Linked DNA regions of Neodiprion lecontei. The protein of the gene in region 3 purifies or fractionates together with the protein of the main gene of each other region. This does not show direct contact. Links are inferred from orthologs where the notes say so. Each region holds a gene or a part of one and is shown on either strand. Other genes may lie near its edges.

The links. Proteins that work in one complex are often made in the same cells at the same time.
Region 1: the proteins of BET1-like protein (region 3) and Golgi SNAP receptor complex member 2 purify together in Homo sapiens (affinity purification with mass spectrometry; 3 studies listed by BioGRID and IntAct, with this or other methods). This does not show direct contact. The link is inferred for Neodiprion lecontei from reciprocal best matches to the Homo sapiens genes BET1 and GOSR2.
Region 2: the proteins of BET1-like protein (region 3) and Golgi SNAP receptor complex member 1 purify together in Homo sapiens (affinity purification with mass spectrometry; 3 studies listed by BioGRID and IntAct, with this or other methods). This does not show direct contact. The link is inferred for Neodiprion lecontei from reciprocal best matches to the Homo sapiens genes BET1 and GOSR1.

Annotation. Positions count from the first base shown.
Region 1 is NC_060263.1:23,685,727-23,696,599, forward strand, and holds Golgi SNAP receptor complex member 2, read left to right. Parts: upstream 1-4,215; 5' UTR 4,216-4,372; intron 4,373-4,599; 5' UTR 4,600-4,699; coding exon 4,700-4,839; intron 4,840-4,984; coding exon 4,985-5,483; 3' UTR 5,484-6,122; downstream 6,123-10,873. Other genes in the region: sodium-dependent phosphate transporter 2, read right to left, coding at 1-11, 157-779, 926-1,136, 1,335-1,541, 1,654-1,857; myotubularin-related protein 9, read right to left, coding at 9,196-9,920, 10,459-10,763. UniProt on the Homo sapiens protein: Involved in transport of proteins from the cis/medial-Golgi to the trans-Golgi network.
Region 2 is NC_060262.1:25,005,873-25,018,071, forward strand, and holds Golgi SNAP receptor complex member 1, read right to left. Parts: upstream 7,896-12,199; 5' UTR 7,808-7,895; coding exon 7,774-7,807; intron 7,275-7,773; coding exon 7,099-7,274; intron 5,956-7,098; coding exon 5,774-5,955; intron 5,302-5,773; coding exon 5,233-5,301; intron 5,057-5,232; coding exon 4,819-5,056; 3' UTR 4,752-4,818; downstream 1-4,751. UniProt on the Homo sapiens protein: Involved in transport from the ER to the Golgi apparatus as well as in intra-Golgi transport. It belongs to a super-family of proteins called t-SNAREs or soluble NSF (N-ethylmaleimide-sensitive factor) attachment protein receptor.
Region 3 is NC_060264.1:34,539,226-34,550,058, reverse strand, and holds BET1-like protein, read left to right. Parts: upstream 1-4,605; 5' UTR 4,606-4,716; intron 4,717-4,989; exon of another isoform or gene 4,990-5,145; intron 5,146-5,284; exon of another isoform or gene 5,285-5,295; 5' UTR 5,296-5,378; coding exon 5,379-5,397; intron 5,398-5,477; coding exon 5,478-5,641; intron 5,642-5,758; coding exon 5,759-5,914; 3' UTR 5,915-6,338; coding exon of another isoform or gene 6,339-6,432; 3' UTR 6,433-6,506; coding exon of another isoform or gene 6,507-6,619; 3' UTR 6,620-6,622; downstream 6,623-10,833. Other genes in the region: histone lysine demethylase PHF8, read right to left, coding at 35-313, 435-520, 1,103-1,218; translin, read left to right, coding at 2,530-2,601, 2,731-2,830, 2,934-3,149, 3,233-3,312, 3,393-3,629; THUMP domain-containing protein 3, read left to right, coding at 6,339-6,432, 6,507-6,619, 6,711-7,188, 7,283-7,461, 7,545-7,935, 8,014-8,066; probable ribosome production factor 1, read right to left, coding at 8,359-8,536, 8,621-8,885, 8,988-9,561. UniProt on the Homo sapiens protein: Required for vesicular transport from the ER to the Golgi complex. Functions as a SNARE involved in the docking process of ER-derived vesicles with the cis-Golgi membrane.

The DNA.
Region 1 (10,873 bases), on a different chromosome or scaffold from region 3:
GCTGCACCTACCTGTAATAGTTATAGTTAGTTATCAGCAAATAAGAGCGCAATAATTGGAAGAAATGGATTGTTGGGATCGAATGCATTTGCAGATAAATCATAGTGACATTAATAATGCAGCGGCATGTCTTGTAAGTAAAAAATTGTCTCATACCTCAATTGTAAATCCACTAGCTGGAGTAATTCGTGCTAAATCTTGGCCGAGTGTTCGAATAACTTTTCTCCCCCATATCCAAAGTCCAACTGATATGCCTAGTCCTCCATAAAGAAGAATAGGCAGAGGAGTTTCTGTTTCTTGACGAACAGAACCGTCAGCATAGACTGCCCACAATGCAATCAAAGGTCCTATGGCATTGCTAACATCATTTCCTCCATGAGCAAAACTTCCAAATGCAGCAGTTAATACTTGGAGAAATGAGAAGAGTTTTGATACTTCTACTGGTTCTTCATCGTCTCTTCCAGCCTCAACACTCGGACCTTCCACATCCGCCCCAACAGTTAATAATAAGGGACTCGCACTAGTGTTGCCCCTAAGCTTTGGTGTTTCTTCAGAATTTTTACTAGATGAAGGAGCTGGAGCAATGACTGACAGCGCAGTTGTTTCTTTTCTATCACACGCATCGAACTCTGTGGCACCACCAACACCATCGCTAGCCAATAATATTCTTTTTCTCTGCCATGGGACTACAAATGTGTATACAACAAAAGCGGACAGTAAACCACTAGTTACTGCGGCTATAATGCTACCCCACCAGGGTATGTTATCCAGCTTCAACACTAAAAAACCGTTCGTACTTGTTATATAGGTTTATATATTATACATACATGGGGCAAGTTTCCTGAATAACAAGATTTCATCTGGTGAATTGTGGTTGAGTTCAAGTGAAATGCCTCTGCTTACCTAAACCATGTGTTTAACTTACGTTTTGGCCCATCGTGTGCAACCGAGAGTACATTTGTAGCAATGGTTAGGCCATAAGCTAGTGGGAGGATTCGGAGACCTCGGTCCAGGGGTTTACTAGCTTGTAAAACAGTTTTTCTCAGTGTTAAGAAAATGGAAGCTGACACTAGGCCGCTTAGTACGGGACTAGCAAACCAAGAAGCTGCTATACTTCCAAGAGCCACCCATTTTACCTAAAAATATTAAATAGACTGCTGTAGAATTTTCTTTGCATTATTCAAATGGAGAACCTTAACTTTTCAAGAATCATTAGAACTAGTAATTAAATAATATAGTTTCTTTCACCTACTTAGTTTAACTTATGAGTTGTATTAAGCCAATTATTTATCATTTAGTATCTCAAACTTTTCTTGTCATTGTGAAGAACATACCCCTGCAGTGCCTCTGCATACAAGTGAAAAGCCAACAGTTGCGCCAACAATCGAATGAGTCCCAGAAATAGGAAGACGCAAGGCAGTTGCAATCATCAACCAAATACCTGAACCAACAAGACTAGAAAGTGCACCGAGCATCAGTTCTTTCTCATGTCCCTCGTACAGTGACACATCGAGTATGCCTTTGCGCATTGTATCAGATACCTAAAATCAGGGCGAAAGAGTTTTAGCATTATAATTAAATGTACTGATGTGCAATGATGGCTATAAAAGCACTTCGAGTAACAGGAAAAATTTACAGATGTTGCACATTTACCTTATATCCTATGAGTACAGCCCCGGCTATTTCAAATATTGTAGCTAAAATGCAAGCTTGAACTATTGTCAGAACACCGGCACCCACACTAGTTCCAAAACTGTTTGCGACATCATTTGCCCCAATTCCAAATGCCAATATAAATGCGACGATGAATCCAACAACTACTAGCCATATTAGGCTTTCATCATATGGTATAGCCATGATTAGTTTCTGAATTTGATCTTTTTTACTTTAAATTTCTAAGTAGGTACTTTAACTCTGCTATTCTATTTCACATCATATATGTATCTATGTCCATTCAGTTCTCTTCCCTTATGTTTATGTATAGTATACATACGTGCTTATTACAGTATAATAATTGATTTTCATTTAATACTTGAAGAGACGCGTATTAAAGATGAAAAGCTACCCTATACATTTATATATCGTGTATAAATACGTGTTTATATCAGAATATATTTCATTTTATACTTAATAAGTTCAATTCAGTTTTCATAACTTTGTACATATAGCGGAGGTAGAATTTTAGCATAGCGCCTGATTTCTCCAGCATTATGATAGAATTTATCATGGTTGTAATCTGGGTTAATAAACTATTTACCATATTAATCCAACAAGCTAGTTAAATGCATTACTTCTAACGTCACAGACTTTGTTAAGGTTTGAGTTACTAAACTGAACCCTATAACTATTTTTTAACCACGTGATTGTTCTCGTACGAGAGCAAGACATGTGCTTCTCTCCCCACATCTGGAAAAAGTAAGTATAATTGTAAGTTGAGAGAATTAGCATCAGGGCAAAGCATGAAAACTAATTATTATAATTAACTCAAAATCCATTTTTTTTCTTTAGTGGATGAAAATATTTTCATGTAACTTAGAAAATTCTGAATATTTATCTATCGAATTTTTCAGACTTACTTTTGAAAAATTAGAAAACCACAACATCCTGAACTAAATGTAGAAAATTCGAGTGTTTTAGAGAAACCTGATTAATTTTGGAAAATGTTCAAATTTGGTTTTAAGATTTCGCAAATTAATAAGGATTAGAGCAATTCATAATTTTTCCAAGAAATCGCTTCAAATACTCTCCATTTCGGAGTTAGGTATATGTTACATAAATTTTCAAAAAAACGTTCACTGCGATGTATTCGATTCCTTTCATTACAATCAATTCAAGTAAAAAAAACATCTTCGGATGAATGACTAATACATGTGTTGCAGCGGTAAGCGCAATTGAATTAGTGGCTGTTCCATTTTTGAAGGTTTTAGATCGAATCGAGATGAAACGGCTTTATTTTCTATGTGAAAACTCTCTTCCAGAAATCATTTGAACACGAGATATTTACTAAATGATGAAGCAGATGATTAGATAGTTTTCGTTTATGATGACATGTACGGCATGAAAATTATATTACACATATCTAGGTATATAATTATATGGTCACTATAGCATCTTTTATGACACGACTTGGTAAAAATCATCTGAGTATCAAAGTGATAACAATTTTTTACATCAATTACGAAAATTGACGATGAAACAATGCAATTCAAATAACTACTGCATCTACGGACGGTCACGTCAGAACTGGACTTCCTTTACACCCGCGTGCTGCAGGTATAGAATCCTATCTTTCTCGTTTAGATGTGCGACACATGTTAATCATTATAATGTGAATTCTATTACGCAATCGGCAAGTGCCAAATGTGGTTACAATGATTTAAATTTAACTAAACACAAACGATGCATACAATTCTGGTCATGCATACATCGTAGAGAACCGTCGGGCGAGAGTAGATTGAATCTGAATCGTGATGTAAATTTTTTCCTTTATATGTGTACTCAAGATGGGAAACGTCACAATCGATTTACCGAATGAACACACTTTTATACTCTGATCTGGCAAACTAAAATTAGTATAGCTTTGTAAATAGGTAATAGCGGATGCAAGAGGGTGAAATATTGATCCGTCCGACACGTTGCTTTACGTTATGACTGAGCCTTATGGAGTGAGCGGAGCTCGCGGAAACTTATTTTTTACTTACAATATTTCATTTAGCGTCACGTCAATTAGCCGTTAATTAACGCTGACACTGCTAACGCAGAGGTTTCCTATTTTTATCCAATACAAAGGCCTCACTGCCTGTAATAATACGTTAATAAACTGCGTATAAGCCAACAACACGGGGCTTTAATAGTACCTACGCATCGTACTATTAGAATAAGATTTCGTCCAAAATTTCGTCTTCGTTTTGTCATCAAAATCTGCGTAAAAATACACTTAACACATTTACCTTCACGATCAATTATTTCGGATTAAATTCTTCAAGGGGTTGCCTTCTTCCCAATTCTATGTATTATCACAAGTTTCTCGATTATCTTATACTTTCCCCGGTTTGTTACGCGATTCTCGTCGGGGTTGCCTCATGCGTTCGATCTTAACGCCTTTTTCTAGGCCACCCAACTTGCTTTACGACTAGGCGAGTAGCTAGCAACGCCACTGCACTCTAGCGCCAGCGGACAACTGCAATTCCAATTTCATTCCAACATGATTCCAACATGAAAATGCCTGACGTGACACATGATGTCCACGTTACATCCGAATCTCTGACTGACTTTAAATATTATCAGACAATGTTTTGACGGTGGAACCAATGAATTTATCAATTATTCCATCGCAAAGTTTCGATGCAGCTTCTCGAAAATTTGAAAATTTGTGAGTATTGAAAAAAGCTGTGTAATGCGTTAATAATCATTACATACGTGTTATCGAAAGACATCTGTCCACCTCGTACTCTTGTTGCATAATTTATTTATTCAAAGATACGGATTATTTCCACCTGTGATATCAATAACGAATATTTAATACCCGGTGATAATTGCAAATTCTGCGCGTGAAATCCTTGAGCGTAATTAAATCATTATGCCTAACAAATGTTTTAGGTTATTAACTGGCAATAATAATATCGTAGCCGGATAGATCACGTCATTAAATTCTGCTGCATAAGCTTATCGTAACATAAATCGAGGCTTTAAAGAAACTATGGAGACCTTGTATCATCAGACGAATAAGCTAGTGCAGGAAACTCAACATTCGTTTTCTCAACTGGAAAAGAAACATTCGGACTTGGACCTTCAAGCAATAGAGCATGACATACAGTCGAAGATAAATCTCATCAACAGGTAGGTTAAAAAATAAATCTGGCAAACAAAACATCATAGCTTCTCCAATTAGCTAGATAGTGGATCTTTGAATACCTACATTGTATTCCGGAAAGATACATAACTCATTCCTAACATGTTTTCTTTTGCTTTTTTACGTTTTCAGTAACTGTGAACGACTTGATATTTTGTGTATGAAGGGTCCTGTATCACAGAGGCAAAATGCCAAGATGCGAGTGGACCAGTTGAAATATGATTCGCGGCACCTCGCTGCTGCTTTAAATTCGTGGCGAAGTCAACTTACTCGCCGGCAAAGGGAAGAAACTGAACGTGAAGCTCTTTTGTCTAAAAAATTCACCCCCAACGACCAAATAGATATCATGATAGATCACAATCTTCAGCATAATTCTAGTTTGCGAAATGCAACGCATGGTATGGATGACCTAATTCAGCATGGCTCTGGGATATTGGAAGGCTTAAGATCGCAAAGATCTACATTGAAAGGTGCTCATAAAAGACTTGTCGATATTGGAAACATCTTGGGGCTTTCTAACACAACGATGCGGCTTATTGAACAAAGAGCTCGGCAAGATGGATTAATATTGATAGCTGGGATGGTTTTTACATGTTTAATTATAGTATTAGTTATAATATATCTTACATAGCTGTATTTGTACATTTTTGAATGTATATACTACAATTTCAGTTCAATCCGAATTGAAAATATCACAACTAGTAAGTTTTTCCAAATGCTAGACAGACTGTTCAGAAGTACCTTGTATAAAATGAGCTATAACCTACCGAGGCGAATATATAATTATTGTAACAGATGGTGTCATAGTGGAATTTGCATGTTGCATTCGAAAAGAATTAATAATTTTTAATCATCAATACTTTAGTGATTCTTTCAGTATCTTGCTTTTCCTGCATCTCCTTTTACAAGGACTAGCTACTTTACATTCTAAATGGTGGTTAAATATTGACAGAAGGATAATCGGATAATAATGTAGATAGAAGTAATCACACTTTATATCAAACACCAAATCCCTGTAGATGTTTCTTTTTAGATATATCACTGCCCTTCGCCTGTAGTTAATGAAGTAATTTAATTTCACATCTATGGATGTTTTTAGTTAGTATGCACTATTTTAAAAATTTGCATACTAATCCAATCTAATTTTTTTGACAATAATGTCGATAAACCTGTGGCTGTTCCATGATTGACTGTCGGATTGTGTTGAACGAATTTATATTTGGCATTAAGTTGGTTCCCGGTAAAATAAAACACCACAATTTTACATAAATTGCCGTTGAATTCAATGCTGACGTTTTGCGATTTTCACGAAGTATTTGTTATTAATTAACCTATTAACGCGAGCTTGGAAACATTTTAATATCAAAATACTCCTGATTATGTTCGGATACACAGCTGAACCTGTAAAAACAACAAATTCCGTACCTCCTCCTTTTCTTTCAAAAAACTAATTGTAGGTAAATTAAACAAATCCTACACCATTTAAATCTTCAACAAGACTGTTTTGTGATTGTTTCGTCTTTTCCGATTACCAGATTCTGTTTAAAAATTGTGGAACGTTCGGAAACTCTGTTGGAAATTTACTTAAAAACTGGAAAGTTAGATAAATTTTTTGCACAAATCACATGAAATTGTGCAAACTTATACATTTCAGTCGGAAACATTGGTTTTTCAGTAGTGATGATCGGCTCTCAGTTGCCATTTTTCAATTCTTTTTTCTAACCGATCACTTGCTTCTTATTTTATTTCAAAGATGAAATCCGTTTTTAAAATATTTTTGTTGGCAGTAGTTTCCCCCATTAGTTTTTATAAACACCACATTTTTTCGGCGAACTCTGTTAGTATAATTACAAAATAAATTGAATCGAGCAGTTGATCTTTTGAAAAATGCTGGAGTGGATTTTAACTCCACGTTTGCGACTAAAAACTAAATTCACAGGAAAACCCGATAGTGGTGAAAACTTAAAGGTCAGAAAAGAACAGAAATATTTCTCTAAAATTTAGTTTTCGTAAAATTTGCCGAATAAAATATTGACCAGATTCCTTGAGTTCAAAGCTTGCTCTGCTCTGAATAAATCCCCTCTATCTGCTGCAATTGAGAATTATAGCGAAAGGAGGAAGGGTCAGGCCCAAATCCCCCCTTTCCTTCCCCTCTGCCCCTCCAAGAACATACATCCCCACCAGTTCCTTCTCAAGCAAGGTAATTTTTTAAACGCGGATCATTCCGAAAGCTGCTTTTCTGGTGTAAGGAGGTTGGTCGTGGCACGCTGACGATCAGTCTTTGATTTATTTTCTGTTCTCAACTACGTGATAAGTCAATGCAGAAGCTGGGCGGAGAATTCGTTGTCTAGTGGCCTTGGATGAGTTTGAGTTCAGTCCACGTTTCCAAATCTTATTCGTGACTAGATCCACACTCATCCAAGGATGCTGGACCCATAACACGGAGAGCCGAGCTATTAAGGTGACCCCCTAGAAGTATACAACGTGCGTCTAAGATGATTCAACAAGCTTCGTGAAATATTGATTACAAATAAGCTGTATGTAATGAAGTTTTTCGTACTATAATAACCGTAATTTGATTCTAAATTGTCGTATGTCGCCCGATGGTTCGTATATTCTTTTTAGTTTCTTTGTGCGTGAACACCTGCCGTTTCTTCCTCCCTCCCTAGCCGTCCTTCACGAGTAACGGTAAAATTCCAAGCCCCATGAAATTTCTCAGGCGAGGCACTCGGCCGAAACCACCCTCGCTTCCCTTTTTAAAAAAGCAATAGGATGCAAGTAGCACGTAATTTTTCGAAGAAATAAAGTTCTCTTCAACTTCTTGAAGTAAATATTGTATAGCATTGATATAACAGAAACGAATTACCGATACATCTGGTAAGGATTTTATTTAGGATAATAACCATAGAATTGATCATTGTATCATTATATGCAGATGTAATAAGGTATTGTAAGATTTTGTCAAGGAGGTTTCATTTTGTTCATTAAACTCATACGAGTCGTCTGCACTATTTAATACAGAGATTCATAAATATTACAGATAATAGTCGTTGAACCTTACAAATTTCCTTTTATTCCATATTAATTCCGCGAGTTTTCAGTTGCCGTAACGTGGGAAATTAAATTTCTTCTTCTTTGTGAGTATGATCCTCAATTCAAGGATATGTGCCAATGAAAATTCAACGTACGCTCCTTCTGAAACGTGCTGGACGCAGGTCAGGTTGCCTACGGTAGGGCGCGCGGTAATGTCAGCTTTTACGCGAAAGAAGCAGTTCTATAGGAGGAGACAACCAGGTCCTCATCCAAAATCCATTAAAAATAGATTTAAGACTTGGGTGGGAAATAGTGGGAAAAAAATTAATCAATCGACCAGCAGTTGAGACTATGTTACGTGGGCATTTATTATATAAACGTATCTACAATATGGCATATGTCGAAATGTAGTGGTGTTATAATTCCATTGATTTAGGTGAAACATCACTGAAGCAAATGTATACGTAGTAATTTATACCAAAGCGTATGTTTATAATGAAACTATTCCACTATTTCCAAAATATCGACAAATTTATTTTTCAATTCTGAAACTAGCCGTAGAGTGTAATATTCCTATATAATGTCTGAAATTAGTAGTTTCAACTTTCAATAATATCGATATAAGATTATGCATGGGATTGAATATGCAATGCTGATTATTATGTTAATCCAAATGGTTAAATAAAATTGTTGAATTAATTATCAGTCTACCACTTCAACAGTTGATTATCAAATATAAATTAATAATGACTTGTGGTATTCTTATTCCGTTAATTCATATAGATCGCTGGAAAAAGGATGGAACTCATTATAAGTGCAATAAGAAACGTAGTAAGATGATACAATTGTGATAATACGCTAACTTTGAATTAATGTACACGTGATAGTCACCTTGTGTCATTTATATTTCTCATTTTACGTGAACTATGCGGAAAAAAATTCTTTGTAGCAACTACAACTGAACATAAATGCTGAGCACAAATCGTCTTCTATTTTTATATATTTTAAGACCAACATGATGTGACCTAGTACTTTTTGTTATGTACGTACACAATTTGAATTACATACAACGTACAATATATCCAATAGTTATATATTTTGTCATTGCCAATAATAATTCTCCAGTTTTTTTTTTTATTATCAATTATAAGTATAAATTTTTCAAATAAATGGTTCAATGTTTCGTGTTCTTAAACTGTACAGATGGAACTTGTCAAATGTTTTGCAATATCTAAGTAAAAAAGGGCACTAGGTAAGCGCATCCTTTTTAAATATGACTTTGCTCTTTAAATTTAACTACACGCCCTTCATCAAGTACTTTGAGGTTCCAAGTTCATCTGAGCTAGTCGAAGGTGTTCTTCAGCGTTCGCTGTCCCGTACGAAGAATCTGGATTGGTATGAATTTCTTCGATACCTTTACGGATTTGCGATTGAAGCTGACCAGAGATCTTTCGAATTGCAGAATGCTTCCGTTTAATGTGCATGGCGCAAGAAAGTGATCCTTTCCATGGCGCGGCATTTGTATGCAAAAGGTAAAGTTCCATCCACAATTCTATGCTGATAGGTGCCACACTGGGCCAAATAACGCCAGGATTTGGTTCGTAAAGTGGATTTAACCATTTTTCCAAAACATCTGGCTGATTTATATGTGACCATAAACTGGCCGTTCTCTCAGATAATCTAAGCTGAATTCGTTCTGCTTCTGAATCACCCAAGAACGTTCCATAGCTTGAGCAATATGCATGTTTATAAAGTTCGATGAGTAAATCTGTTGTATATTCGAAGCTGAATTGAAATTGGCGATGTAGCTGATAGAGACAATCTAGAAATAGCAAAAAGGTGGGAGCATGTGCTGGACTTTGAGAATTGGGCGGGTGATAAGGCCCATGACGTGTCCGACTGAAAAAAGCATGGCCAGCTTGTAACCACTCTCGTTCAACAAGAGCCTGCAGACCTCTCACGGTTCGACAGTCAGGATTTAGAATGGCTTGGGTCAAACTCGTCACAGCAAGAGTACAATCTCTGCCAGCACCACCTACCAAAAAAGCATATTGTTACTTAGGTGAAGGTATAATAGTAGTGTTTGCATACAAGTCTACAATAGTTTTAAAACTTCTGTGCTTATGATCTCAAAATTATTGATTATCGATATTTTTTTCACATATTGACGGATTTATTGCAAATTCCTGAATAATTCCTTACAATGCTTATCTAAAACGATAGTAATGCCCAAAAACTGGACAGTCAAAAATAATTATTGTCAATTTCCACAAAAAAAATTTGCGTTATCTAAAACTTTCGCTGAAACACGATAATAATTCTACACGATTGTTAATGTGCAGAATTTATACAATTATTATTCAATATAATCGATTATATTTCATCAAAGATGACTGTGAAAAGAGTTGGTAATCATATTACATCTGTATGAAAATATCTCGAACAAACGAAATTAATGAAGACCATAGTAAAACCTGCTTGTGAATGCAAAATCTGTTGTTAGTTGTACTTATAGTAGTACAGTTCCAATAGTTCATTAGTGCATAGAAATTTTTCATTTCATAACTACATACCATGTACTAAGACAGCAGCTGCTTCTTGGTGAAGACATTGGGCAGCTACGCAGGCTGCATTCAATGCTGCTTGAATTGCAGATAGCCAGCCACTACCCTCTAGTCGAGAAAGCCACTGGGACGTGGAGCATTTTGTGTCACTGCAGGCTTCGATTAGTTTACAGAAACTTTCGGCCAGGTCAGTAGATCGTGGCACAGCCTTGTGCACCTTACGCCATTGTGGATAAGCTGCGTCCATTTCAGTTCCTCCTCCTCGGTTTTTGGCCGCCTGCGCTTGACTGGCAGATCTCGTATCCACTATGTACCTGTAGAGAAGACACAAATCAATCAACAACCAGTAAAATTAATGCTATGTAAAAGTATATCTCAACTCACTGAAAAATGCAATCTAATTTATACTTAGAAATTAGATTAT
Region 2 (12,199 bases), on a different chromosome or scaffold from region 3:
CACATATCTTTTAGTGCATCGAAAACTAATAGACACATATTTCTTTTATCTGCTAATAAACGGTTTAAAGGGGTGAAAATAACATCCAAAGATGGGCACCCAATGGGGTAGTTTTTCAGTTTCGTACTGAAGCACTTGATGTACTTGAATGAAACATTCAAATACATTAATTATACTTGAACGAAACCAATGCTGAAATGTTCCATTCACCAGTAGACACATTTCTGCTTTAGGTTGATTTAAATACATTAAGCGCTTCTGTTTGGAACTGAGAAACCTATCTTGCCGGGTGCTCATCTGTGGGGGACATTATCCCCCCTTTAAACCATTTACTAGTAGATAAAAAAAATATACGTCTGTCAGTTTTCATTACCCTACAACATATATGAACTAGATCAAAATTGAATGTGTCGACCAACCTGGGGTTTCTTGTGAGTGTCACTGACATGGTATTGTTTACTTCAAATATAATACAGATAAGTAGTTTTTTAACAGAGGTCTTAAATTAAGGAGTTGTAAAATTGTTTCTTTAATAGCTGATAGATTTAATCAGTGCGATAAAAAAAATGATAAAAAAGTTGGGAATGGAAACACCATTTTATACATTTTTCGCTTTGTTTAATTTTTTTCAGTTCAATCTGATTCTGGTCGATAGCCAGTACTTTTTCACTGTGTTCTTAGATTTCGTATATACATTGTATAGGACTCAAGGACGATTTGGCTGTGCATTTCGCCAGGTCTTGCCCCGTGGCTGGCATAAGTTAATGTTAACTTTTAATCTATCCAACTTTTATAAAAATTTGACCAAATTTCAGCTAACTTAACTTTGCTATGTGGAAACATGCCAAATCAACCAATACTGAAAATAATTATATTATTGAGTATAGAAAATTCGTTGACAAAATCAAACCTGTCTGATTGGCACTAAAGAAAAAAATCTTATAAACTTTCCTGGTGAATATAGATTCGTGCACTTGGGTATTTTATGGTATAGAACTAAAAGAACTCTAAAACAACGCAAACATGCCCCTAGCCATACAAAACAGCATAGTGCATGGAGGTCAAGCAACTACGATTATTTGTTTTGCGCTGGTAATCTAAGTTACGTTATTAATTGGCTTAAGTTGTTACGAAATGGATTCATTGACAGTTTTGGTTGCTTTAATGTGTTGGTTTTTTTTTTATTTTGAGAGTCATCTACAGAATTGAATTGCACCTGAATATACTTTAATGAACTCATATTCAATCAAAATATTACAATACCAATTCTTTCAATATTATTATTAATTTATCTTTATTTAACAAACAAATGTTCAATCACGAAATGTTTCCAACATCTCTCGTAAAAAATCATGTTTTGTTCCCTAATGTAATGTTTAACCAGTAAGTGTTTCAACGTAAAAAAACAAAAAACTTAAATTTTTAAAACTAACTAAACTTCACACTCTATAAAAAGGTTGAACGATAGTGGTGTTATTTTGTCTTTTAAAATGTTATGTATTATTTTGTATCCTATGAAGTAATTATTTCATCAGTATTAGTTTTTGATTGGCGATTAAATTTTTCCACATATTTTACTTTACTATGGACTAAATGAAATTTATCATGCTTTTATTCTCAAATCATCTGAATAGCCTGAAAACTTGGCGCATATAATCGATAACTAAATGCGTTCACCCGAATGTCCGTTATTGTGAATATATTGTCAAAAGTTAATCGGTGGCTTATGATTGTTATTCCTTCACTGATGGTTTTAGATTAAAGGCTGGGCATAGTGTCGTGCATATTTTCATTGTGCTTACATTCAATATAGCACTTTAGCGCATTGAATGCTGTATGAAATACGAGCAATGCGAAATTTAAGGTACAGAATGCAAAGCGTATTGTATATGAACCACGCTAAAAGTTTAGCTGGGATAATGCTTGAGTTCAAGGTACCATATGTAGGTAATAGTAGGCAACAGTATGGTTTAGTATACTACTAAATAATATAAATATAATAATTCAATTAATGATTACTATTAATGTTAGACACGCTGAACATGATATATTTATATTCACAATAATACCCGTGGTGTATATTAGGTGTTTGTATGGATCGCAATGCAAGATGAGTGTCTACCAGATAACTCAATAAAACAAAAAAATCCTACTTTTTTTTCAAACCTCAACAAACGTCTTCAAAGATGACACAATATGATTTACGTTTCTACATTCCTCTGTGTTTTCTGCAATTCATATCGAAATATTTAATTTTGTACCAAAGTATGCATCATTTTCTACCATCCCAATTCCGTGTGAAGATTGCTTAAGAAAATTTATTTTTCAATTGTCATTGAAATTGGCATATGACTAAGTCTCTTTACTTAACTCACACCTACACTTAGTTGTGAGATAAAATGAAGTACCACAGATAAGTGAGCAATTTAACACTTCTGCAGGCATATAACTGTATAAATCGACAATTGACTTACAGTTCAATAGCGTTATTTTTGTTTTTTCTGCCAGCTATCGCATACAGTATTGAGAGTCGTAATTCAATCTATCTGAGTACAATTACACAACAATTACATAATTTCAATATAGTTTTGATGGCGAAACAAGTTATGTGTACGATGCATAGTTTCCCTGTTTCAACTTTGCTTGAATACAATCGTTTTTAGAATTATTGTGGTTGTGTACTTCCCATCATTTTTGCACAAATATTCCCCTTTGAAGTAAAAACTGGGAAAGAGTTGTTATCACCATCCATAAGGCAAAAGGTGTTATGTTGTTACTATTCACGTTTCAATAACTGTGATCTGTAATTTTTACTGAAGGTGACATGTAGCATTCTTCCTTCAATTTCTTAGTTTTGAGATTCATTAGTAATAGCGTCCATGTGAACATGCATTTGAATTGAGAGACTGTGAAAAGGAGGAATGTGACAATACACCACATACATTCACTATCCATGCTTTACCTTCCTATGGGCTAATTTTTATTTACTTTACGACACATCTGAGTATGATATAAAAGTTGTAGGGAATGTGGATTATATTATCGATTGTGGGAGGACGTAAAATTTGTGGAATTTTAATTTCTCAGCTATAACGGATGTACATACAAAGTGCAATTATTGCCGTAATGAGACCAGTGTTTCACATCCAAATAAATAAAAATCACATCCAAAAAAGTAACAGTATTTCGTTCTTGGTATTTTCAATTAGGAGTTAAAACTATTTCATCCTTATTAATTTTTTACCAATTGTACGCTATATCCGTTAGCTTGGTATTAAAATTTCTCATTCAGGTTGTAAGAATTGTGAAGAACATTTTAACTTGTACCCGTACTTGTTGCAATCCATTGCATATCTCAATCTTGATATCAGATTTTCCAATTCGGTTTTTCGTAATTGTAAAGCACAGTTATTTACAATTTCCGTAAAAATGCAGAGGAATGTTGATCGATACTTGGTACATACGATGTTATTTTACGTTGTAACAATAAAGTTTCTGCACATGATTGGGCGTGCAATATAAGGTATTATTATATGTTTATGCTTCTTTAATTGTAATTTCACCCTCATCTTTCAATATACCCATGTCATTGAATATAGGAATACACTTCATTTAGCTTATTGGCGACTCCAATTATCCGATATGGTAACTAATAGAAATACCCCTCGTTATTATAAGTATTGATTAATAATTATTATATGTTCTATATAACTATAGAAAATCAACAAGCGTTCATAAATTCACGAGAGAGAATTGGTAAAAGATCTGTACAGGTATATTAGAAAAACCGTTCCTTAATAAAAGTATTTTAATTATTGCTCTCTGATCATTCGTCTTGGCAGATTCATCATTGATTATTTTTCATTACTTGGCTTCGTGGTATTTGAAAAAAACAACTATCTGGAAAATGATGCGTATGTACGTCGTACTCTTTATTTCAGTCTGACATATTTACATATGATACATAATCACCAGCACATTAATGTACTAACCAAGCCATTTCAATAAAGTATTAACTTACAGAAATCTAGTAAAGGCTCATTACTGATATAATTATTGTAGTATAATGAGATTGTAATAAAAAAATAGAAGACATTGGTAAACTTTAATATTACGGGGAAAACAAAAAAGTTAGAGTTAATGGTGAAATTTTCTAATGTGTATTTTACAGCAGTCATTGAACAAACTTCTAGGTAGAAAAATGCTGAATGCAGGTACGTGTAACTAGTGAGTGAGTACATATATAAACGACAGTTTTTTACGCAGTCAGTCAGTAAAGTAAATTTGGTTAAGGATGATGGTCAATTGGACAGTAGGTATATATATTAAACCTGAATACCTTTTCCGCATGAAAGGTTTGAAATTCTGTAAGTTTACAATTATTAACTTTTGGCACTAATAATCAGGTAATCGCATTTGTAATTCATTTTAGTGCTTCAGAAAGTCAAGATATAGTGTAAACTTGTTCTAGAGAGAAAAGATTTACCGATTACTTATAGCTGAAACTACTTCGAATTTGTTAGTGTCTCTGCTGGCACGTTAATCTCGCCTTTTGCTTTATGTACTGTATTTATGTAATTTTTCAATAATGGTCGTAGGGTCAGAACGTCAATTCAAATCATTTGAATGTCTTAAGATGTTGAAAAATCATGCACGTAATAATATCGATGCTCAAAATATTCGTAATAAAAATTTCAATCATTACTCAACTTGAGTTATATTTTAATTTTACATGTCTATACGTTTGAATCTATTTACACCGAATATTTGGTACCAAGTCCTAGTTTTTTTTTTTTTTTAATGTCAACTCAATCCAACTTAATGAAATGCATAAAGTAGCATCAGAAATGTACAAAATCCGATAATCAGTCCTAAAATAATAGAGTCACGGCGTTTTCGAATATTTATTCTTTGCAGTAAACTGTTCACAGCTGGAAATCGATTAGAGATGTCGTTGAAACGGGTTTGAATCCGTTTGAACGTGTGGCGTTGCGATACCAAGTGCTCTCTCGTTTCAACTGCTATACTTATTTGGTCATTGACCAATCGATCAGAGCTGAAATAGAATCAATGTCATTTCATCATTTTAAGATTAACTAAGGAATACACGGACTTACTGTTAGCATGTAAGGTTTTGTTCATGATATTTCTTTACTTCCGAAGCTTCAGTGAAACCTCACTATTCTATAAACTCATCAGATTAAATGTTGGCTGCTTGCAAATAATACTCACTTGTGTATGTGCTGACTTTCTTTCAAGTATTGGTCTCTCCTATTGAGACCACTGCCACTTTTATAGTTACTGAAATTTAACAACATCTGGTTAGATTAATAAAAAATCATTTCCGCAGCAAATGCCATTACTCATGGCTACTTGAATACAACTGCAACTCCAGATTGTATATTAACATGCTTGAAAGAGGAACTAGTTTAATTTTATTAACCTGACCTCACTTAAATCTGTTATTTACACTCCAATTTTGAATCACACAAAACTTGAATGGGGTAACAATTTATAATGCATATTTCGATCTCTATTTTTCCTATGAATTAGTCATGATAATTTTTCATTGGTATCACACAACTTTGCAATGAAAATTTTGCCTTCTTGTTCTATTTAAACTTTTGCAAATCCTGCTAATCCTGCCAGAGTCCAGATTTTGAGGTATATTCAAATAGTAAATAACACATTTCATGAGTACTGTGAAAAAAAAATATAAGTCAGATATTTTTGGAACGTCTATCGCAGATATAATACTGTAAGAGGTGCATACTCAATTTCTTTCCGCACGCTGCTAAGGAGATCTTCTCTATCACGTCTGGCGATGAAGTTATTTTGAGTTTTATTGAATTCCAACTTATAATCCTTTAAAATTTCTCTGTGACGTTGTATCCTATGCAACATATGCCCTCCATCAGGTTTTATTTCACTCATTTTGTCATTTACTGCAGATAACTGGAATCAATAATAAAAGCAAGCTCACAAGCACTATTTCGTTATTTGACTTGTTTTTTTAATTGAAATTAGCAAAGTTAAAAGCATAGGGGGAAGTCCCCCAGTGCCAAACGCATAAGGATATTCGTAAATAAAATCGTAACCTACGTGAAAACATAATGGTTTTTATGGTTATGTTCATCTTTGGAGTATTTTCAATGATATAGTAACTTTGTGAATTATTATATAACGTTAAACTAAGTAAAAAATATTATTGTATTTAGTAGTAAATACCAGTAAGTCAGAAAAGAGGCACCTAGTACCGGACGCTGATAGTACGAATGGAAAGAAATCATTAATAAATCTTGCAATGGTCACAAATATATTGCTCAGAGAACTCAGGAATATCTGCGTACACCTCGTGCACCAGTTCTTTAAAATTTGAGCCCTGCATGATACTTTTTTGTAGTTTATATTTCAGCGCAGCTTCTCTACCGGTCATATTTCCACCCAAGATCATTTGAACTGCCTTTTTCATGTTTTCTTCGGACCATCTTCCTTTTTTGAGTATTTTCGATTGGTTAGTTATGGTAAAATATTATTAAAATAAGTAGGTGAAAGTTTTGTATAAATAACAAAAAGATGAGAAAAAAATGGATGTCCGGTACTGGGGGACAAATCGAGTGTCCGGTATTAGGGACCTGTAATGCACGCGTGAATGACAAAATATGTGCTCGTTCGCAATATATCAACTTTCATTGGACATTGTTTGAAAGAATACATACCAAAAAATATGCCAGCGGAAAAACAAAACAACAGAACCACTAATTTTTGAAAATATAAGCATGTGAAAATTAGGTGCGACGAAAATTTATGCAGACTCAAACGTGAACTGACTCTCAGCAACGCACGAATGCACGCTGCTGCATGCGGTATATACCCCCATCATTACATCCATTGCACATGTCAAATCACGCAAGAAAGCTGTAGATACTGCTTTGACTATGGGATATACCATGTGTGTCTAGTACTAGTTGCTGTCCGGCGTTACGGGACTTCCCTCTACATGAAGATTAGAGTAAACTAATTGGCTGCTTGCTAATGAAGCTAGAGCCATATTTAAAAAATGTCATGTTTCAGGCTAAGTGAAATTAATTTATTTACCTTGGCGAATAGCGATTCTATCTCTGTAGCCATATTTTCAAATACATGCTCCTCATCGAGCAGAGGAACAGTATCGCTACTAGAATGAGCAGATCCTGCTTTGACACCCAATTTATTGAAGGCATCAAGTTTCGCATCAATTTCATTTTCAAGATGCTGAGCTTGTTTTCTTAGTTCTGAAAGTAATTTAAAAGTGCAATAACTTATCACTGATTTATATTAAAATATTTTTTTCATTCACACAGCAAAGTATGAACTTTCTGTAGAGCATGACCGTTATTAAGATGAATCTATTGTTTTGTTATGCTGTTCATGATGATATGTTTATATTTTATTGTGTGACTGTACAAGGTTGACTATTCAATGTTTATGTGTAGCTCAGGAAAGGGAGCGATAATAACAAATAAAAGCATGATCTTCATGCAGGGTATGCCACTTAGAGCATTGTTAAATTCATGTAAATTGGAATGTATTTACTTCTGGTTATTTGACACAATACGCTATGTGAGATCTGTCAAAAGTCAAACTGAACGATAGCATCGAACGGGAGTGAAGAATTATAAGATTTCCTTTCGGAATATCATACGAAGAAAGAATGTTAATTTCATTTTATAATTTAACGTTATTGCGTTACGATATTTTATTGAACACATAATTTATATTGCCAATAAATACCTTCCCATCCGATAACACCTGCAACAGTTGCCATTTTCTACGATTTAACTACTCCACGTATAGAGGCAAGTGTGATGATCACAGTGCTCGTTACACCGTAGAGCTGACAGTATGTATAGAGTGGGCCTTTACCTACCGTTGACTTACCACTGGCCAACACAAAAAGTTTCATAAAAAATTTTAAATACACATGTGTCGCAAGTCCGTGTATTGTATTAGATGAAATGACTGTATAGATTAAATAATTCTCCTGTTGGAAGAACGTCATTTCATATAGAAGATTTTTTTTATATCCGTGATCCCGTCGTCAGCATAAAATATCTTTAACCAACACATTGAAGCAGATTAAAGTAATTTTTCCCGGTTTGAATTTGAGTCACATACCATAGAACAGCCAGAGTGGATTGCATCTTATTACTTAATCAGAAATGTATGGACAAGTGTCGTCACCTGCATTAAATTCTATAAAATCGTAGGTCAGTAGGCGCTTGTAGTACCGGTATATCTATCGTTTACGTTAGCAACAAATGCTTTGCTGTATTACACAACGTGAAAGCAGTAGATAATGCAGTGCATATTCACCATAGCAAAGTGTTACAGTCGTGGTCGAAACCGAACAAATCACAAACATTAAGAAATGATACCATTGCGACATATACGAATAAATAATGAACTTTGTAAACTCAAAATTTACTCCAAAATTTTTACTGTTTTCTATTAGTATGTACAATCTCCATTGAAGGGTTGAAATTGGGTTTTCGCAGAGGATTAATCAATCGTTACAGGTGACAGTGTTACACGAGATGAACCAATGCTAAATATCTATCTAGAAATCTACATCATCGGTAACATTATTTTTTTAGTTTCAATCCTGTGTTCGTGCTTTGGAAAAAAAACTGGGTTTGCGATTCTTCTCTGTTTCATCCATTTTTACGTATCGCCAGACTGTGCATTCGTCGCACGCAGCTAGATCGTCATCTTCAGTTTGCCGGTCCAGACTTGCTTTTGCACAGCCGAATCGCTCGTCGTCATCGGGCATTCGCTATTCGTCAATTCGCCGCTATTTCCTTTCAAGTAACCGAAGCAGAGCCACGTGTGTCAACTATACCTGTAGGTTCGTAGCGGCATCAGTTCAAAATATAGATCGCCGTGTTCAGTTTGTGTAACATGATTTGGTAAACAAGCTTAAATTTGATAATTGATGGTATCCCGGCGCCCTCGCGAGATATAGCCATACAGAGCAAGAAGCAGAAGAAAAGGATAATTAATATAATAATCGTAAACGCGTGGCTCGACGTAAAAATTGCTTATTGAAGTAACAGCAGCCGGTGAATATCGAAGGTGAGTTTCATGTCTCGAGTGTTCATTCTTTTGTACAATTTTCTCGTTTGTCAGCGTTGTTTTGTTGTTTTAATGTTTGTTTGCTGTTTTTTGGATAGTGCGTAGTTACGTCGTCCGCAAGTTTATTCAGTCGGTTCAGGCAGCCAGTTACAGTACAAAAAGTACGAGTGAGCTTGGATTTGAGTGTTATTACTGTATGCAGATTCGTTGCTAAATTTATTTGGCTTTCTAAAGTTTGCTAAATACATTATCGACAGATTGAGAGTCAAATTACTCTCGAACGGATTTTCGACTCAAAGTCACACGCGTTTTACGACGTGAATATGCCGAGATCGTCTTTTGTCACGGTTTCCTGTCTTACTTACTGATAAAACGGACTTTGCGAAACGTGACTTTCGTTCGAGTTCACGTCTCGGAATTCGGATCGCGGATCGATGTCGAATGTGGATGCAACCCTTTAGTATTATTTCTTGTGTATAAAAAATCAACCTTATTGGAACGTTAGCCGAAAGGAAGACTCGACCGTTGCAAGTTCAAGAGTGCTTTGTTTTTATGTGTAGCTGCGTTCATAGGATGCGTAAAACGTAATGTTCGAAAGCATGTTTTGGTTCGTGTTTATCACTGGTGAGTATTTCTTCGAATTTCGAGTCATTCACTTCATCTCTTCCGAATTTCTTACCGGGGACCGATACTATAACCCTTATTTCGTAGCGTACTGTAACAGAAATTCATACATTACAACGTTACGTATTTGAAAATTTCAAGTGGTTTGACCTCGGTAAATTTTCCGTACATCTTACGGATGACGAAGTGATCGTAAATAAAGAACACAAACGAATGTAAATCGTTCATTTGTTTTTATTCCTTATATGACATTTTTTAATAATTGTATTAAGTTCTGAATGCTACTTGTGTGGATTTGTAAGTCACATTGTTAACAACATATTGTCTTGTCTTACCTGATTACAGAAACCAACTTCAACAACGTTGATAGACGTGGTTTACTGGATTGAAAGACCCAGTCACTAAATCTTAAAAAACATTATGTGGTAGGTGTCCAGATTAATTTATTGCAGAAATGTGACAAGTCCCAAACAATCCAGATCATTTTTCACTCGATTATGTCATTTACAACATATTTGAGTAGTGGCATAAGCTAATACACCAAAATTGCATGTATTTGGTCTCAAGTACAATATGGATTTTGAACATGAAATAGTAAAAAAATGTGCTGTTTCACCTGATTACAGGAACAGACTACGGCAAGATTGATTGTCATTACAAGTGAATATCTATATTAAGTGGTTCTAGCAATCAATGCTGGAAAACAAAATGCAGATGCTGAGCACGTCAGAATCTTGTAGAAGAACGAAAAATAGATACTTTTGAAATCATTCCTGATTATACTATGATCCTACTTTCACTTTGAGGTATTTATCTTTTATTGTTAGTTGAAATTTATTGCTATACACGCCTTGATTATATTATGGAAGAATATTGTAAATTTTCTATGGGGGATGGATTCATATGGAAAATAAGAAACTTATAAAATATTGTTATTTCTTACTCGATTACAGGGACAGACTACATCGCAGCACTATTGACCGCTTCGAGCAATGATCTGAACTAAGTAACCCGATCAATCGATGTTCGAGAACAAAGTGAAGAGTAAACCAACTGCTACAGTGAAGACAATTGAAAGGTATGTAACAACGATTTTTAATTACATTGTCGCTTTTGATCGGAAATGATAGCAAACATTTTGAATGCTGCCCACTGACTTTATACATTCCTTCAATAATTGTGCTTATTTTATTAGCCATTTATTATTTATTGGCCCAGTTCATTTATTAATACGTCACAAAAGACTGAAATAGGGAAAAAAAATAAAAAATATTCTTACACGGTTAGTCTGTAGTGAGGTGAAATCTGATCCAAGTATATTGTGTGAGTAATATTCTGTTATATTCTTATTGCACTGTTAAAAGTGTGTAATTTTACTATTCCTATTCAATCGGAGATGGTACGAGTACTATATTAGCAGAATGCGGTTCGATTCTACAGAAATCAGTTCTACAGAGTACATTTTTTATAGAACTACAAACTCGTTTTTACAGAATATTTTTCTACAGAATGTTTATCCAAACAATATTTTCCTACAGAATAGTTTACACTTACGACACAGATTAGAGTCATCGGAAAACTATTTTTATTGAATTTTACTGAAAAAGATTAAATCGGTAGTGTTCTCATGATGATAACTATGCTTTGTTATAAATGTTTGAAAAGTTTGAAGAATCAGCTTCAAGGATCTATGCATCAATTTGAACAATATTGAACAGTTTATGAGTATTTTAACATTTAACGAATTTTCCCATGTCAAATGAATGGGAAATTAAAATTAAAATAGAGACCTGTTAGACTTGAGCTAAAGAGCTCTTTTCTTCTATTAAACACTAACATTTGAGGGGGTAAGAACGGAAAAAAACTTTTTGAACCACCCAAATGTGTATGTAGCGTTTTATATGACTATACTAACAATACAACTAATAGTTGGCAGATCCGCTTCTGACGCAAAATATTACACATTTTTCTCATTGCTGGATGGACAATTGACGAACATTGCCGTAAAAATTTATTGAATTTGTCTAAAGGAAGGGCTGATAATGAGTTAATAAGCGAGGTACTAGAAAACGAATTCTCAAATTAAGGAAGATGGGTTATTTTAGATTAATATTTATTGAAAATTAGAAAACGATTCATTTTTTTGATCAAATAAAACTAATAATTTGCACTTTTCTAAATTACAATTTTATTGTTCCGTAAATGAAACTAATTGCAAAATTGTTGCCTCAATATTGTGTAATGCGTATGGAATCGTGATAAACTCGGATTTTCCTAGTCTACTCAGAGCGAATTCCGGTAAATGGCTGTTTCGTTCAAAACTTTATCTAGTACATGAAAAACAAGTTGTTATCCGCTCAGCGTCTTCAGAATTATGTGTCAACGAGCAATGCTTGCCATAAATTTAAAGCCCATAACGTTTGTTAATTACTTATTTATGCTGCGATAACATTATTCGTTC
Region 3 (10,833 bases):
ATCCGAAAATCTTGAAAATATTTTGAACTCCTACCAATGTAACTTTCTACATCATAGACACTGAAGTTTGCAGGTGGAACAGTCATGTCGAGGCCATCTTTGCCGTCAATGATAACAGGTGTTTCAAATCCATGTGTTTGTAAATATTGTAGTGTCAATTGCTGACCCCTGACATGTTTGATGATGTCATCAGACTTTGAAAAATGCCGTGATTTCAGCTCTCTTATAAAAACAGGTGTCCCAGTCTGGACTGCCTTTGAACTTGCTTCCGACTCGGCATAATCATGCCGGTGCCAATTCATTCTGGTTTTCACTGCAAGTGATGAACAAAAAAAATTAAATCCAACAAGAATAAAACTGACTATCAAGATTATCATTTTTTCATATCTTTTCTCTCGCTTCCTTGAAACTAAGTCCGTCTTGGCTATACTCACTCAGGGATGGGCCGTTTGTTTCCACACACAATGGGCAGTGGTACTTATCAAGATCTGTTGACGAATATTCCTTTACCGATACACATCTATTTGAATGAAATAATGTTATAACAATTGTTAAACAGCTTATAAGGATGATTAGGAAAAAAATTAGAGTAAATATGATAAGTTTGCTTTAAAAAAAGCCTGAAAATATCAAAAGAGTTTGACCTAACCTAAATTATGGTTAACAATTTATATTTCATGGGTTCCTTTGACTTGATAAAAACTGTGTGGACAATCTTAGCTCAACAACAGTTCTTGATTTCTCGAGTACGCATAATATTTTTAATAGTTTATTTCCGAACGATAACATCAATTGAAAAATTTAGATGCTTTTAGGTTATGTCAACAAAAATAGAGTGTAAATATCAAGCTGTCGAAGTTTAGGCCAACTATTTCCACGCTTCTCTGTATCAAATTATTGCCGTAGTATCATCATAGTTATAAAACCGTTTCACAAGTACTCACAAAATATTTTGACAGGTTGAGGATATTCGATTATCGAATATGACAACATTGACATGAGAGGTTTGTGACGCGGAGCAGCCAATAGACGCACTTTTTATAAACCAAGGAGCTTGAGGAGCTTCGTTATGCTAGCATCGTATAGGATTTAGGTGACTCACCCTCCGTGGTACCATTCCTTACAAACATCGCATTGTATCATAAACTGTTCGGGAGTGTAAGATTGACCGCAGAAACAATACGTTCCTGGCTGCGAGCGGGCAGCTCCCAGCTCCATTGTAACAATTACTAATATTGGGCGTTGTTATTCCGAAGCAGATTCCCGTTACTGAAGGTATTGACCCCTCGAAGCTGCGGCTATCCGCTACGGTTCCATTTTCTTAGCTGACTGAAAATTCCGAGGAATTCTTTTAATTCAATATTTCTAGAAAAATCGAACCTTCGGCTCACTGACTCGTGAAACGAACGCCTCCTTACCAGCCGCGGCGTCACGTCATTCATGATCCGTGCACTGATCATCGATGGAGCGTGAAGTCATTCGTGTCAGGTGTTATACTGTTTTGTCGATCGACCAATTTCAAAACATTCTCTTTTCAACATTGTTCCTTCGCTACACTACTGTTTTTGTTCTTGGTATTTGAATTCCTAATTGCAGCATTCATCTTTCACAGAGGGAGCGTTACAAATAACGATATGTCGAAGTAAAAAACATTAGTATATATCGAGCATGGCAGCCCAATAGACGTATGGAAAGACATAAAATCAATGTTTTCAGTATGATATCTAGTTTTGAAAATTGCACAAAACCACTTCTACCCCTGCTGAATACAGATGGATAATCTTCGTAGTTAGCTTCATATAATAATAAATAAACTTTGCAAATCAGTCAGAGTACTTGGATGGTGGGAAATCTGAAAAATTAAAACACAGAATCGAGCCCCTAGTCGTTGTCAAGTAATTCGAAACACAATTCACTTTGCATCTAGTGACAAATATTCGAAATGTGCTGGAATTGGCTGCACTGAATGTTCACAACCGATTCCAGCGACATTCAATCAACGACGGAGTTCACGTCAAGTACTACTATCAATATTACATACATCCCGTATGTGTGTCATCTCATATATATGTAATATTGCAATGGCAAATTGACAGTCAACCGCACGGTCTTAAATACATAGGTATACACAGTAGAGATCAGTGCGTACAGGTCTGGGAACTCACTCAAAATTTCACTGGTGGGGTGTCCTTTTATTGAAGCACGGGCCGTTTTTCCTAGTGACCACGAGTGTCGCTGCTATCGAGGGATTCAGGCTATGTGAGAGAGACGGAAACAGATTTCAAAACCGCGGACGGTCAACAACCTGTTTCCATCTCTTTCGCACAGCCTGAATCCCTCGGTAGCAACGACACTCGTGGTCACTAGGCGGAACAACCAGTGCTTCAATAAGAGGACATACCCCCATCGCCAGAGTTCCCAGACCTGTATGTAAAATCGTGGTCAACCGGCGTTCGGATAACTTTGTGACAAACACGATAGAGTTCATACGGCTAATCGTAAACGTAGATACAAATCCCACACGTCAGGATGTCGACCAACGTAACGTCGATTTTTAACTCGTTCCAAGATTACCTCAACACGGAACAAGAACTCCGTGAGGTACGTGTTTATAGACAATAATAATACGTGGTGTAAAAATATAATTAATTCAACGAATACAGTAAACAATTCGACACAAAATGACAACAATGTCAATTAACCTTTACACGGTTTTCTTGATTCATTCAGGAAATCCGAACTATCGTCAAAGAGATTGAACAAAGTGCAAGAGAAATCCTGATGGTACTTCAAAATATTCACAATGAGAATGTGTCCGAGGAAAATACTAGTATGATTGTAAATTTTGTAATTCTATTACCATCTTATTTTTTGTTTGCTAGATTTACTTATTATTTACTGTATATCAATTTATTTATTGTTTGCTTACTCAGTAGTGTCGGAACACTGTACTAAGGCAAGGTGTCTATTTGAGGATGTACGAAAGGGTTATGCCAAACTAGCCGCTGTTGTTCCTGAGAATCAATACTACCGATTTCATGAACATTGGCGTTTTGTCACGCAACGTTTATGCTTCCTGGCTTCTCTCACTATATATCTAGAAGTCAAAATTCTTGTGCACAAAGACACGGTTGCAGAACTATTGGGAGGTACGTTGACGATGACAGTATTACCAACTTATTATCTAAAGCCTGAATCCATAATTAGTTGTGTAATCTCTCTATAATTTAAGTAAAGAGCAATCGAGAGGAAGGATTTCACTTGGATCTTGAAGATTTTTTGATGGGACTTCTGCAGCTATCTTCAGAATTGGTATTCACGAAAAATCATTATTATTTGTGAAAATCGTTCACCCATAACTGCAGTACATTATTTATAAATATTTTTTCTAGTGCCGCTTTGCAGTCAACAGCGTAACGAGTGGAGACTATGATCGACCAATAGAAATATCCAGGTTTGTGAATGAATTGAACGCTGGATTCCGACTCCTCAATCTGAAGAATGACTCTCTTCGTAAACGGTTTGACGCCCTGAAATACGATGTTAAAAAGATCGAGGAAGTCGTTTACGACCTCAGCATTCGAGGACTGAAACCTGCTGTACCGCCTGCTCCAGTAGATTCGAAATAGAAAGGCAATTCTACTACCACAATACATTAACTATTACTCACGATACCAAGTGAGAAGCTGCGCCAGCATAGGTTTTGCAGTGAGGTTAAACATGTGGACATAATTCAACTTGATTTTGACAATCTTCTCGAAGATTATTGCGACGAGGTGCGACAGTGCCTAGTTTTTGTAATGCTTGATACCAGTTCGTAATAAAAATGACCATAGTTATACTATATGCAGTTATTTTATTTCCAACAACTAAGTCATTGATTCATTGCACATTCTTTATTGCTCAGATTAACAGGTCGATTAGTATCCCCTCGTTTTATTTAAGATACTTGGCATTATTTTCGGTGAAGAATTGCGCTATACCGTGCGATCGCATTACTTCAGAAATATGCGGCTGGATTGTAACCTGTAGGAAAAGACAAAATTAAGAACCGATGGTGTTCGATGGTTTCGTGCGTGGTCAAACGGTGTACATGACATCGCAAATATCGATGGTCTGATACATGGAGCCTAGAGTAAATGGTCTGATAGGAAAATAAAAAACATGCTCTTTACCTCTCTTCTCGTTTGATGACGAAAAAAAATCGTGAATATTTTTTGCCGTTTTCTGCTCGAGAATACGCTGTATTTTTATTAATACGAGTACCAAACTTCAAATCGATTCATCTATTACAGTTCGAGTTATCGTGTACACTGTTTTGAAAAACCTAGGTTTAAGTAAAATTGTTTAATATTTTTCTGAGTATAAAAATTTAATTAAGATGTATCTTACTGTTAATCTACCATTTCTACCTCGTATTGCATTTAAATCTTAACCGTTCAAACTATTATGAATATTCGAGGGAAAAAACTCTTCAATATTGATAACTTCACTCGTTAAACAACTCGTTGTGGAGAAAACGGAGGCAAACGAAATTTACTTGTACACGTGTGGACGCGAATCCTGAAACAGCCTATTTTTTCCCTAGTGGATTACGTTGGCAATGGAGAATTTCACAATCAACCCGTAGCAAGAATACGTTTGAGGTTTTCAAACATGGAGACTACACTTGTTCAAAGCAATGTATAAATAATTCTGAATTACCATGCTTAAACGGTAGTGTATATTCGTTGATAAATAAGTGACAATATTTAATACCAGTCAAAATAATATTTTCTGTAAGATCGTACCGATAATGAAGCTAAAGCGTAACATTCGACTAAATGGGGCAGCCCTACGCGAAAAATAGGCATTTAGTACTACATTAGCAATTATAATAGGTATTTCTCATTCGGTCAGACTAATGAGAGGCCATAATGTCAGGTTGAAAAGATTGAATCAGCGTAGCCATAAGCAGGCCGTAAGACGTAACCAACCAGCGATTTCGATAGCATTCTTACTGTTTGTTCAAATGCCGACGATCACAACTCGTTTCTTGTTGTGACACGTCACCGAGTGACAATCGGGTCCCGAGAGAACGAAACGGACACGTCATTTGCAATGTTTGCGAAATTTATACGTTCAATTTTGTAGCAAACGAAAAAGGTAACGAATAAAAACTTGATTGCACAGCTTGAGGTGGTTTTTATTTTTTATGTCTTTCGCCTGACATCCGCCCAAGTAGAAAATAAGCGCAAATTATTATCGAATTTTGGGGTTATGTCGAGATCTCAAGTAAGTTTAGTTGTGTTTCAGTGTTTTGTTCCAGGAAAATGAGGAGAACGCACGGGACAACTAGTCACAGATAGTCCTCGGAACATTTCAAAATTGATTCAAAAATGAGGCGGTCGCATTCGGGTTAGTCGGATGTGCTGAAAATAAATAAACAAATCTTGTCTGTCAAGTTAAAACTAAAGGTATTTTCTTCCCGTTTTCAGGGGGGTATGCTTATGGGCCGTTGCCAAGCACCTCTCACGATGCTCTGGAGGAAGAGAACGAACGGATAGCCGATGAACTGAAGGACAAAATAAGCCTCCTGAAGGCAGTGTCCATTGATATTGGTACCGAGGTTAAATACCAGGAAAAAATGTTGAATGGAATGGTTAGTAAGGAGGCTAATTAAACAGAATGCGGAAAATCAAACTGACAGAATTCAGTGTGACCAATTACTGAAATTAGAGTTTGTCTTACAATTATGTTTATTCAAATTTTGTTTCAGGACGAAGATTTTGAGAGGACGAGTGGCTCCCTGACTTCCTCTGTGTCTAGAGTATTGCGTATGGCGAGGGCAGGACATAATTATTACATCATTTACCTTTTCCTTTTTTCAATTGCTGTATTTATTGTGTTATGGCTTGTTCTTAAATTTAAATAATTTCTATAAGGTGTAGAGACACGCTCCAACTTTTTTGCGCATTCTTAGTCTACCCATTGACTGAAGAATATAATTTTAGTTATGAAAGAATATATATTCTTCAGTCAACGTTCCACCGTATGAATGACATGTTATTGGTGAATGGTATTTCTAATTCTACATGTTATGTGTAATAGAATAATTACTTGAATCATTCAAATGTAAAATACAAAGAACGTTTATTTTCAAAATTTCGTTATTATGAAAGGCCTAAACTTAGAATTGGAATGTCAATCTGTTGAGTATTTGAAATTTTGATGTTCGAACGTTTTTTTTTTTTCTTTTATGGCGGGTCATAGTTCCGCCTTTTTGATACAGACTCCATATACTTACACGTCGAAAATCGGCATCGTGACTTCGACTTGTTTATCAGTGCGATTTAACGATGACGGATATCAACGAATCTGACTTGTACAAGCTATTTAAGAAATCTGAAGAAGCTGAAAGCGTCTATACAATCGGAACTACCGTAGACACAGGTACAACACATAATAATACACGTGTTACTGCGTTTGTTTTGTTTCTTTAAACATAACCTAAACGTGTGATACAGGTTTGGAATGGCAGGCGGTTGACGAATGCAAAGAGAAGGTGGATACGACTTTACACGTTGTCAAGGAGCGTGGAAAAATCTATTTTAACATACGTCTGGACCAATTTTCAAAAGTACTATTGCCAATATTATCATGATGCCGGTATTCGATCATCGTTTGTACAAATTTTCTTTTTGCTCCTATTAAAAAAAAAAAAAAAACAGGTAAAAGAAATGAGATCGATTGACAATATTTTTCTGGTATCCGATGTCCGTCAATTCAACTTCTCAGAAGATGATGGCGAGACTGATTTGACGTTGCTAAAAAATGCAATAGAGAAAGATCTCAGGCTAGAAAAGGGTTTGGAAGCATGGAAAGCAATGACTGGCTTTCGTGGCAAACTTTACCCTAAACAAGAAGAATTTAAAGATGCGGATAAACTGCTCAAAGCTGAAAAAAATCAGCCCCCGGAAGATGCAGTTGTAGGGGATGTCAGGAAGGGAAGAAAACGGGGTAGAGATCCGTCCCTATCCAGTGAAGAAGACATCCTCAAGTACAGAGTGACTTGCGAAAGAACAGGTTCTCATGCCTTTGAATCTGGTCAAGTTGCGAGAGTAATCGGGGGAGAATTACAAGATAAATATTTCTGGCTAGTCGACTTGACCATGTACCATCTGGAAGTCATTTGCAATCTAGTTCAGAGTGGGTTTCCTCAGCACAGTTAAAATGTGAAATACATATTGAGGTTCATCCTTCAATAATTGAAGTTTTTTGATCTGCTTACTCACATTTACAGATGAGCTGGCAACCTGTCTTCGCATAACTCATGAGTCCAAACATCGCCGTAATATTATTCACTTTGGCCCAACTACGCTGCGAGCTACTGTGTGTTATAGTTTATTACGACTTGCGAACCCAAAGCCAGGGGATATCATAATCGATCCAATGTGTGGCGGAGGCTCCATACCGATCGAGGTAGAACGATTACCCTTGAATAGATTTGACAAAAAAACACAGCTATTTTTCAATATTTTTAATATGCCTTTACAATTTGATAGGCAGCAATCGCTTTCCCAGATACATACGTTTTGTGTGGAGATAATCATGAGAAAGCTGTTGCTAGAACAAAGTTAAATATCGATGCTCAATCTATCAATCATAAGACAGAGCTGATCACATGGAGTGTCGCCAAATTACCGCTGAAAGATTCTTATGTTGACATTGTGGTAACTGACATGGTAGGCATATCATTGCTTATATGCCAATACAACATATGTCTTTTGCTATTGTTCGTTGTTATTAATTTTTCAGCCATTCGGAAAGCGAAGTGGTTCAATGACAGACAACAGAGTGCTTTACAAAAGATACATTACAGAGTTGGCTCGTGTTGCAAAACTAGGTACAGGACGTCTGGTTCTACTGACTTACGATCGTCGCAGTATTCAAATGGCAAGTGGGCTCAATTTTCACAAGATATTTGTAATACTTGAAACGCATTAGAAAATTCATTTTTTTCGCATCTTGCAGGCTTTACAATCCGCAAGCAATTTATTCAAAGTGATAAAAATGCTCGGGGTTAATATGGGCGGGTTGCACACAGCTGTGTATGTTTTGAAGAGGACCAAGTTACCGTATAACCCGTAGAAGAGTAATTCTTCGACTTTGCAAGACTGATAAGAATCAAGCACAAGTTATCAGGATACTTTGTTTATTGTAAAGTGGAAAATATGATTTCCATAAACATTGAATACCACGATTTAAAATTATTTATGTTCACGTGCCTAAACGTATTTCAGTAGGCTTCGATTCAGCATCCAGTAAAAATTATGCATACGTATACAAGGCATATACGGCAAAAACGATGTCTATTTACTACAAGAAGAACTTTCTTCTGCTAGTTTCCATGGCATGTCGACGTCCTTGTATTATCCATTCGTATTCACCATATTTACTGTCGAACGTCCCTCGTTGCAGAGATCTCAATTTTAGGGTGAATCTTGGGCCCAATTCTCTGAGCTTTGCTTTCCCCTTTTTTAGGTCAAACTCGTATCTGGATGGATTAAAAATGGATGCATTAACCAATTTTATCGTTGGAAAGATTGTTAAATTGAAAATTCAACAAGCTTAATTCTACCTATGATGTCTAAAAAAAATATAATCTCGCTGATTGTGAAATGTGACTGCCCTGCGTCCCTTGAATTCGGGATCGTAGTGAAACAACGCCCCAAGCATTCTTCCAACCGAATGTCCTAGCCTGGTCGTGAAATTGTTTAAAATCACTTCTGGACGATGCTCGGTTATTTCTTTATGCGATCGCTTCAACTCTGGTGTAATTTTAACATTACTAAGTTTGAACTGCGCCGTTGGACCATCGGGCAGGTGCACAACAAGCATGCCATCTGATCGGCGTTATTAAGGAAATGTAAGAACAATAGTTTAAAAAAATTGGAGCAAAATGGATAAGACACGGATGTCAATTTTCATGCCATTGAAAAGGATACTTGGCTGTTTCATATTTTCATTTATCACTATCAAGTCCGTGAATCCCTTGGCAATTGCACTTTTAACCATCTTCTTGACACCCGATCTGTTTCTGTAGAGCGATATAGAGTTTGGAATGATGCGAGTCAACTCGCGACCAAATATTCTCGTTTTTCTGAGAGGGTTGTCAGAGTAGGTAATGAGTACTTTGGGCTCATATGTGTGTTTGTAATAGGATGCAAACTCGTCGTGCTCAAAATCTACTTTGACCTCAAGATTTTCCTCCGCATCAACGTCGCCCTGGATTGTAGTCTCGTCCTTTTCACGCAGACTTTCGATGGTGTGAGGGACTTTTTTGGGCTCGCCATCCCTCTGGCGTTTTTTCCTTTCTTCTTTTTTAGCCTTCGCCTTTTGCCTACGAAATTGTTCACTTTTTTTATGGCGAACTATTTTGCATTTTATGTGATTAAAATTGCTGTCGCTCGGCAATGAGACTTTGGGATTTTCGGGTGGCGCGATCTCGCTAACTTCAGTTTCTTCCTCCAATGGGACTTCACGTTTCAACGGATTTTTTCGTAGATTCTTCAATTTCATTTTAACCCTCAATTGTGAAGCGATCTGTTTTTCAAAATATCACGATCTCAGCTCACGCACAAAACCATGCGTACTAAATTTCAGGTTATGTGTTGAGAAGATTTATGTATTATACGATTTTGTCACGGCGCATGCGCACTGTGTGTTGGGTTGCGTCGCTTCTAATTTTTTCTGACAACTCATCTGTATTCTTCGTGATTATTTCATGGTTCAGCAGCAGATACAGTAGCGTTCTGTGGGAAGGAGAAGGTTTGCGATTTTGTTAAACGCAGTTAAACGTTTCACTCAAGGAATCATGGTGTCAATATTATTCGAAATAATTTCATAAAATCCGAAATTACACTGAAATTAGTAATATTGAAATAAAAGTCTGCGTTACTAATCAGTGGCAGTTATGAAAAATCTTTTAGGATAACAGAAATCTCGTTGTAATGTTAAGAAATGATATGAAATCTTAGAAATCGTGAGAAATCACCTACGCAATGTAAAATTATTTGTCAAGTAATCTCTCGTAATCACTTTATAAAATACAAGTAATCATGAAATATTTTAATCGTGGTGTGACTTTTTTCTCAGTGAAACACCCTTTACCAGAGTCTCTCTTACTCGCCGAGTAATCGGAAAATTCAAACGTACGCCTGACGCTGCAATCAACGGCAATTCTGTACACATCCTAGGCATTTTTGCGCATTTCCCGCGCACAGTTCTGATTGGTCGAAAACTTGGTGGATGAGACGATTCCGGGAATCGGAGCTCCGCTTGACAGTCCGCGTTGGTCCGCGTCATTCGCTCTCGAACAGCTGGAGTGAAACGCCGGTCGACAACAGTCTCACAATCAAATCAAGATCGCGATATTCAGTCTGTGTAACGTATTTTCGTAAGTGGTTGCCGACAAATGACGGTCAAGTAAGTAGAAGAATCGTGGATGTTTAGCTCTAAGAGGAAACGAGTTATTGAAGTAAGAATCGCTGGCGTAGCTGAGGTGAATTTCGTGGTTCGAGTTTCCATTGTTTTGTGCACTTTTAGGTTTATAGTGATCTCGATTTGGGTCTCGCCGTGTGGAGTGTAATTTTTGTTTTATTGTTTGCTGTTTTTCAGCAAATGCGTAATTATACCGGTTACAGCACAAAAATGAAGAGTGAGCGTAGAATCGAGTATTATTAAGGTACAGATTCTTATATTAATACTTTTTTGCGACGCGTGAAAAAAAAAAAAAAACTATCGGAGGCGAAACAAAAGAGTTTCCGTCACATTCAACGAGATTGAAGTTAG